2 linked regions of the Callithrix jacchus genome follow. The protein of the gene in region 1 interacts with the protein of each later gene in a pairwise test. Links are inferred from orthologs where the notes say so. Each region holds a gene or a part of one and is shown on either strand. Other genes may lie near its edges.

Region 1 (4,098 bases):
GGCTCTTTTGCAACGTCTGGAGACATTTTTGCTTGTTATAACCTGGGGGTGCTATTGGTATCCAATGAATAGAGACCAGAGGTGCTAAACATCAAAGAGTTATCCGGTCCAAAATGCTAATAGTGCCAGGGCTCAGAACCTTGGTTTAGACTGAAGCGAGGAGAGTCAATGGGAGAAGAAAACAAGGACCAAAGGAAGGAAGAAAAAGGGGTTAAAATTCTGTTTTGAGGTCATGAGGTATCCATCAGTTACATGTTCTCCAGCTTTTCTCCCCATGTCCAATGCCTTTTAATTATTCCGTGGGATTGCAGGGCCATGTTTGAGTAGCTTTTTCATAGGAACATCTTCCTTGTACCTAAAATTCCAAGCCCTGATGCAGTACAAAGAGCTCCACTATAAGACATGGCCAAGACATAAATACAAGCAGTTATGAAACAAGTAGAACTGGAAGGTGGGCAGTGGGGGTGCGTGAAGGGAAGAAAACATATGCCTATAACGCCGTTTCTATGAGTCAGTGTTGCTGAGGTAACAACACAGAACAATAACCATAGGGAGAGCTGAGCTATACTAAGAGCAGGCAGAACTGATTCGGAGCACAAGTGTCAGGAGAGACGCAGCTTTGCAGCAACAGATTCAAAAGCAAATGAAAGGGTTAAGCAATCTGTGCATGTCATTCCGTATCATTCCACATTAAGTCATGGGCAGTTATTACAAGTAGTTACCTGTGGTTTCCAGTGGGGGAGGAAACGGCACTCCAGTCAAGGGGTTTTGGAGAAACAGGTGCAGCGAAGGCATGGTCAAACAATTTATTTACTGTAAACTTTAGACTTTGCTCAGGAAAACAACTGAAACTGCCCCTCGAATCCCTGCCTAAAATACCCCGTGTAAGCAAATAAGAGGAGCGGGGAAGAGTCCATGTTCACAGCTAAAAGGTCCAAGATACTCAAAATCCTCAAGTTCAAGGGTGTAGGAAGGAAAATCTCCTTCGGATACAAATTACCAGCAGCAATATATTACCCCTAATACTTAAATAGTGAGGTAGATACATGGAAAAATCATCAAAACATAGCAGACCCAGGTCCTCTAGGACTAAAGCCCTTCAGACATAAACTTATAAGTTCCATGCAAAGAGGAACTGAACTGTACAAATAACAAATAATCAAATAAGTTTTCTCTCTTTTTACAGCTTAAAAAAATAAAAAAGGCAGAAGGGTGCCCCTCCTCCTGCATATCTCTATACAATTTTATTCTAAGTTTATTACACTCAAGTTAAATAGTCTGTTTAGTGTTCTGTTGGTGGGGGCGTTCTTATAAAGTAGAAAAACTGCTTTACAGCAGTGAGTCATTTGTACTACAGTTCCTCCCTTGTGAATCAATGTTATCGCTAGGCACAGTACCTTGATGGCCCACAAAGTCTTCCGTGCCTGGAAGGTCTTCACACAGCAGTTTATTTTCTTTCTCCTGTTCCAGGTGATATCCACTCTGCTCCCCTGTGTTGCCGTTGCTGTTGCTGGAGTAGCCATTCCCATAGGCCTTCAAAGAAGACCTGTGCAGGCACAGAAGTTCCTGGAAGGCAATCCTGAAATCTGGGCTCCGACAGTAGATAAGGGGGTTGAAAGCAGAGTTGACATAGCCCACCCAATTTAGGAGGATGTAAACTTCCTTAGGGATGAGGTTATCCCGGATCACATGCACAATGTTGACGATAAAGAAGGGCAGCCAGCAGAGGGTGAAAGTGCCCATGATGATACCTAACGTCTTGAGGGCTTTGTGCTCCTTCAAGCAGAACTTGGAAGACCTGCGAAGTCCATGTCCCGTCCGCCCGTCCTGCTCCACCTGGCTAAGGTTCTGGGCATGGAAGCGGCCCTCAGATTTGTCAATCTTTTGGAGCTGCCTTTTGGCCACCTGAAAGACTCTGGAGTAGACGAAGACCATGACCACCAGGGGCACGTAGAAGGACACGATGGAGGAGGCAATGGCATAGGCTTGGTTCGTGAAGAAGTCACAGCAGGTCTCCTTGGCATAGCAGTTAATGGCTTCCTGGTGGGTGGCCCGGTACCAGTGCATCTGAATGGGCAAGAAGGAGGTAAGGCCTGACACGATCCACACCATCAGAATGATCACCCGGGCCTTATTCTTGGTCAGCAGGCTCTGGTACTTGAAGGGTGAAGTAATGGCAAAGTAGCGATCCACCGCGATCACGCACAGGGTCTCAATGCTGGCCGTGACGCAAAGCACATCAATGGAAGTCCAAAACTCACACCAGAAGTTGCCAAAAGTCCACATTTTCATGAGAATATGGCTGGCCCCAAAAGGCACCACTGCCAGGCCCATGACCAGGTCAGCACAGGCCAGTGAAGTGATAAAGTAGTTGGTGACAGTCTGCAGACGCTCGAACTTGGCAATGGCTGTGATGACCAGCACATTGCCAAACACAATGGCCAGGACGATGAGCGACATGACGATGCCCATACCCACCACCCACGCCTCGTCCCGTTCCTGCGTGACGTCGTGGTCCGGCGCGTGGCTTCCATTGGGCGCCAACAAGAAGGCGCTGCTGTTCCCGGGTTGCCCCATGGCGCGCAGTCTGGCAGGTGAGCGCACTGGCTGCCGGCGCCTCAGCGGGCGGATCCCCGGCGGGGCTCTGAGGGCCGCGAACGGACGCCTGGAAGCCTCATTCAGCGGCCGTGAGGTGGGTGTGGTGGGGGCACGTCCTGCACACTTAGCTTGTCGGGTGCTAGGGGCTCACGATGCCAGCCAGTTCCAGCCCGCCCTCTGGAGAAGCCGCCTCGGAGTGCGTACTGCCCGTTATGTGCACAGGACTTTAGGAGAACTGCCCTCGCTGTGACGTGCGGGAACTTTCGGCCAATGGCACGCCGGCAGCCCCGTAGGGGCGAGGCACCCCTCCGCTTTCCTCCCCTCCCCTCACCCTCCCTCTCCCGGGGCTGGCCCGGGCGGGGCCCAGCTGCTCTTTGGCGGGCGGGCCACCACTCCTTCCCGGCTACCCGGGCTGGCCCCAGAGGGCTAAAGCTGGAGCTGGCGTGCTTACCAGCCAACCCGGGAGCTTTTTTGGCTCTTCTGTGGCCGCTACCTGCCTGCCCTGGGAGCCTGTGCAGTCTGAGGTCTCAGGGCAAAGGGCAGCACACCGGCACTGCCCCACATACGGAGGGAAACGAGAGTGCCCACCGAGGCACGCACATACAGGCACAAATACACCCCGGCAGACATGCTCAGACTTATACGGAACCACAGCCATAGACACGGAGACACACCCTCCCAGGGCACCCGCAGGCACACTCGCGAGCGCGCTCACACAGAAGCCGTCAGGCACAAAGTCACCCCTGTCCAACACAGAAACGCGGCCAGAAACAAACACAGAAGCACCAGAAGCACAAAGGCATCGTGACACACACAAAAAGTAAACACAAGCCGGCTTAGAGGCATGCAGAGCGACACAGAGGCGGATGTCTCTATCTGGGTACTCACAAACTTCCCCCACCTGAGCGCTGATAATGCCCCTCTCCCAACATACACCCAGTAACCCAGTATATTCCCTTTCAGACATTTGGCAAGACCGCAGGAGGTGACTTCAGCAGCTGCCGATTTCCTCAGCACACTCACTGTCAAGTACTTTCGGTGCCCTCTTTGGGAATTTGCAGGCATCAAGACAGTTTTACCCTTTGGATTTCATTCGGAGAGGGGGTAAGGATGTATGTATTTTGGGATGGAGAGAGAAAGTTCTGTGCTTTCGTTTTAGTTTCGTTTTGTTTTTAACTCTTAATAAGAGTGTGGCATCACTCACTCATCTGTTGGACAGGAGATGCACTGAGAATTCAAACAATTTCTTCAGTAATCCCAATGCAACTAAAAAAAATCCTTTCATCCTCTGGATAGTTTGTTAATCTTTCAGGTTGAGCCATATGAAATTGCCACCATTTGGTGTCTGTGACTTACCAAAACGGCAAATTCATATGATTCAGAGTATTAAGAATGTCTTAAGATTAAGAACTTTTTGAAACTATAGAAAGCAAAAGATAATTCTCCCTTAAAAAAATAAAGTAAGACCAAATCTCAAAACTAAGATCTTTGTTCACAAAA
Region 2 (3,950 bases), on another chromosome or scaffold:
AGAAGATAGCATCCCAAATTCTCTGGGGTTATGGCCAATCAGAGGCAGGCTCTCTAGGCCATACCCCATATCTCCTTTCTTCTGTCCTAATACCTGCTTGGGCAGCTCTCTCAGGAACATAGGCACCGGGACTCGGAAGGCCCTCACCTGCAGTGCCAGCTGGCAGTCGTCAATCAGGCCCTGAACCAGGTAGTAGCGTGCTTCGCCCAGCAGCTCTCCCAGTTCTCTGGTACTCTCTGGCAGTGGCACAGACCCGTCCCGCAGGTAGTTGAGGATCGTACCAAAGTGACGGCCACTCCGGTCAATCAGCACCCAACCTAGTAGGGTGGGGAAAGGCAGAAGGAAAGACGGCTTTGCTGGGGGACCTGGAGCTATTAAATTAAAGAAAAATTTTTTTGTAGAGATGGAGTCTCATTATGTTGCCCAGGCTGGTCTCGAACTCTTAGGCTCAAGTGATCCTCCCATCTCAGCCTCCCAAAGTACTTGTATTATACGTGTGAGTCACCACACCTGGCCTAAATTATAAGAAAAAACGGATTCCAGCTAGGCGTGGTAACTGACGCCTGTAATCCCAGCACTTTGGGAGGCTGAGGAGGGTGTATCACCTCACATTTTTTTAAGCTGTGAGGTCAGGAGTTCGAGACCAGCCTGACCAAGAGGGAAAAACCTCATCTCTACTAAAAATACAAAATTAGCCAGGCATGGTAGCGTATGCCTGTAATCCCAACTATCTGGGAGACTGAGGCAGGAGAATAGCTTGAGCCTGGGAGGCGGAGGTTGCAGTGAGCCGAGATGGCGCCGTTGCACTCCAGCCTGGGCAACATTAGGGAACACTGACTCAAAAAAAAAAAAAGGATTCCAAAGTCACAAAAAAGACTGAATACTAATCTGTGCCACAGCCAAAAAATCTCTTTAAAATATCTCTAGTGAGTTCTCCCATAAGTTACACATCCAGCCGGAGAATTAATTCTTCCATATCTGATCTACAGTCAGAAGCTCTTAACACGAACGGTCTTGCAGAATTACCTTATCAATAAACCTCTAACCCCCATGTTAATTCTGACCATCCTATTTAAAATGTCGACCTCCCTCCAATTCACTACCATTTTAACTTTTATATTCTTCATAGAACTTATCAGAAAAAAAGAAAGAACTTACTACCTGCATATTATGCATTTTTACCTGCTTATTGATCTCATCTCCCACCTCCTTAAAAAAGGGGACTTGCCATAATTTTGTCACGTTCATTTACCTATGTATCTCCAGCACTAACTGATATTTTACAAACACTAATTGGACAAATGAATTCGTCACTTTTTTTTTTTGATGGAATTACACTAAGTTGCCCAGGCTGGAGTGCAGTGGCAAAATCTCGGCTCACCCACAATCTCTGCCTCCCAGATTCAAGCGATTCTCCTGTCTCAGATTCCTCAGTAGCTTGGACTACAGGTGCCTGCCACCACATCCGGCTAATTTTTGTATTTTTAGTAGAGACGGGTTTCACCATATTGGTCAGGCTGGTCTCAAACTCCTGACCTCAGGTGATCCACCCACATTGGCCTCCCAAAGTGCTGGGATTACAGGTGTGAGCCACCGAGCCCAGTCAAATTCTTCACCTTTGATACTTGAAGGCAGATGTCCGCCTCCCAAATTTTTATCCTCCTATTCTCATAGTCCTTGTTAACTCCTCCCTTAAGAATCTCCCAGTTCCAAACTCCAAAACTTTGGGCATGTAGGCTCCAAACTTGAATGCGACACTCCAAGAAGGTAAGGTTCACCTGCCAATGACACCTGTCCACCCCTCCACTCTGGTGTTCCTAGCAAACCTAAAGCATCCTCCTTTTGTAATGTGTGTCTACAGGTGGATTCCTGGAGTGTACAGGGACCTGTGTCGGGGAACACAGAGGCAGACAAGATCTCCCACTTCTCTAGGCTGGCTGAGCAGTTCTGAGGCAGAGAGGGAAGCAAAAGGCTGGGCAGTTGGAAGAAACTGAGAAGGCTGCCAGGAGTAGAATTGCAGGCAGCAGGGCTAGTACCCAAGTCTTTAGCTGAGGGGTGAAGGGTGGGAGAGCTGTCATGAGGATTATGAAGTGACACGTTCAATCACTTACCACAGCGCCTGGCAGAATTAGGGGTTCCGTAAATGTTGGTTATTGCTGGGGGTAAAGGACTGGGGAAGAAGGGAAATTATGAATGAGAAAGGGGAGGAGATGAGATGTGGGCGCTGGAGGGAGCTGAGAATGAGTTGACCGGACAGTAGTGAGCAGAGAGAAGGGGCATGAAGAGCCCCGGTGGTGAGAGACTGTGGGGAACGCGAGTTGGGGGTCTGGGGATGGAGGCACGGTGGGGAAGCCGCTCGTACCTCCGGCGTCGGTCAGCACCTCCACACGGCCGCTGAACATGGCCTTGAGCATGGTGTCCTGTCCCGTGAGGGTGCGCAGCGTGGTGTAGTGCAGCGAGCCGCCCACGTTCAGTTTCACGTACTTGCTGTTCGGGGTCAGCGGCTTGAGACCGTAGGCGGCGGAGCCAGGCTCTAGACCCGAGAGCTTAGGGGTTTCTAGGGACGGGGCCGCGGCCGCCGCCGGGCCCGAGGCCTCCGCCGACATACCGGGTGGCAGCGGCGGACGGCGATCCCAGGCTCTCTCCGCGCCCTTTGGCCTCCTCCCGAAGACCCTCGGCCGCCCCCAGCCCTCGGGCCAGACCGCTCGGCATACACGCCCACTCGCCGCTGCTACTAGGCGACACCTGCCCGCCGCCCCATCGCGCTCGCACCACCCGGAAGCCGGCGCCGGGCAGCTGCGCAGGCGCGGCTCCGCCCCAGAGAGGGGGGAGGGCCTGCAAGTGCGAAGCATGCGCAGCGGGCTTGCAGGGGGAGCCGGAGCAACAGTGGGTTGAGGCCTGAGGGTCCCGAGGTGGGTCGATGTGCCCTCCCGTCTGGTCTGTAGTATGCAAGACCAGATCGAGGATGCTGCCGACCCCTGCCCAATGTGGAAAGCCAAGTCTCCGCCTCGTGATTGGGTCTCTGCTCTCAGAGAGCTTCACGAACTTAAGGGGAAACAGACCGAGAGATCTGGGCGTTGGGCAGTTTCCCGCCTCCCAGCCCTGCGCACTGAACAGACGGTGACGAGAACTGCGAACAAAGCACGGAGGGAAGCTCTTAAAGGAGGCCAAAGCGGCTGGGCGCAGTGGCTGACACCCCAAAACCCCAGCATCTAAGCCCAGCTACTCGGGAGGCCGAGGCAGGAGGATTGCTTGAGGCCAGGAGTTGGAGGCTGCAGTAAACTGTGATCGGACGACTGCAAGTGGGCAACATAGTGTCCTAAAAAAAAAAAAAAAGGCCAAAGGGGTAGCAGTGTTGCCCGGGCACCAAGGATGGAAGGCCTCCCAGAGGAGGTGATGCCGAGTTGAAGCTGGGAAGCGGCCATGTGGAGATGTGAGGGAAGAGTTCCAGGCAGAGAGAAGGCAAATCCAAAGATCCTCAGGGTGCGGTGGCTCATAGTTGTAATCCCAGCACTTTGGGAGGCTGAGACAGGTGAATCACGAAGTCAGGAGTTCGAGACCAGGCTGTCCAATATGATGAAATCCCGTTTCTACTAAAAAATACAAAAATTAGCCAGGCGTGGTGGTACACACCTGTAATCCCAGCTACTCAGAGGCCGAGGCCGGAGAATTGCTTGAACCCGGGAGGTGGAGTTTGCAGTGAGCCAAGATAGTGCCACTTCACTCCAGCCTGGCAACAGAGTGAGACTCCATCTTTAAAAAAAAAAAAAATCTTCAGGCAGGCAGGAACACGCTCTAGTATTTGAGAGCAGAGGGTGTGTCAGAGGTGGCCACAGCAGCTGAACAAAGGTCTTAGAATCCCAGCTAATGTCATGGGACCTAGCACCCAACCCCAAAAGAAAGAAGAAAAGATAGGAACCCACTGTTGACAAGAAAGTGCACTGAGAAGT

Evidence for each region.
Region 2: the proteins of ADRB2 (region 1) and KCTD13 interact in a protein complementation assay, tested with the Homo sapiens proteins (2 studies listed by BioGRID and IntAct, with this or other methods). The link is inferred for Callithrix jacchus from reciprocal best matches to the Homo sapiens genes ADRB2 and KCTD13.

Annotation. Positions count from the first base shown.
Region 1 is NC_133503.1:47,515,591-47,519,688, reverse strand, and holds the start of ADRB2 (beta-2 adrenergic receptor), read right to left. Parts: upstream 2,801-4,098; 5' UTR 2,578-2,800; coding exon 1,398-2,577; intron 1-1,397. UniProt on the Homo sapiens protein: Beta-adrenergic receptors mediate the catecholamine-induced activation of adenylate cyclase through the action of G proteins. The beta-2-adrenergic receptor binds epinephrine with an approximately 30-fold greater affinity than it does norepinephrine.
Region 2 is NC_133513.1:29,593,132-29,597,081, reverse strand, and holds the start of KCTD13 (BTB/POZ domain-containing adapter for CUL3-mediated RhoA degradation protein 1), read right to left. Parts: upstream 2,801-3,950; 5' UTR 2,607-2,800; coding exon 2,363-2,606; intron 318-2,362; coding exon 148-317; intron 1-147. UniProt on the Homo sapiens protein: Substrate-specific adapter of a BCR (BTB-CUL3-RBX1) E3 ubiquitin-protein ligase complex required for synaptic transmission.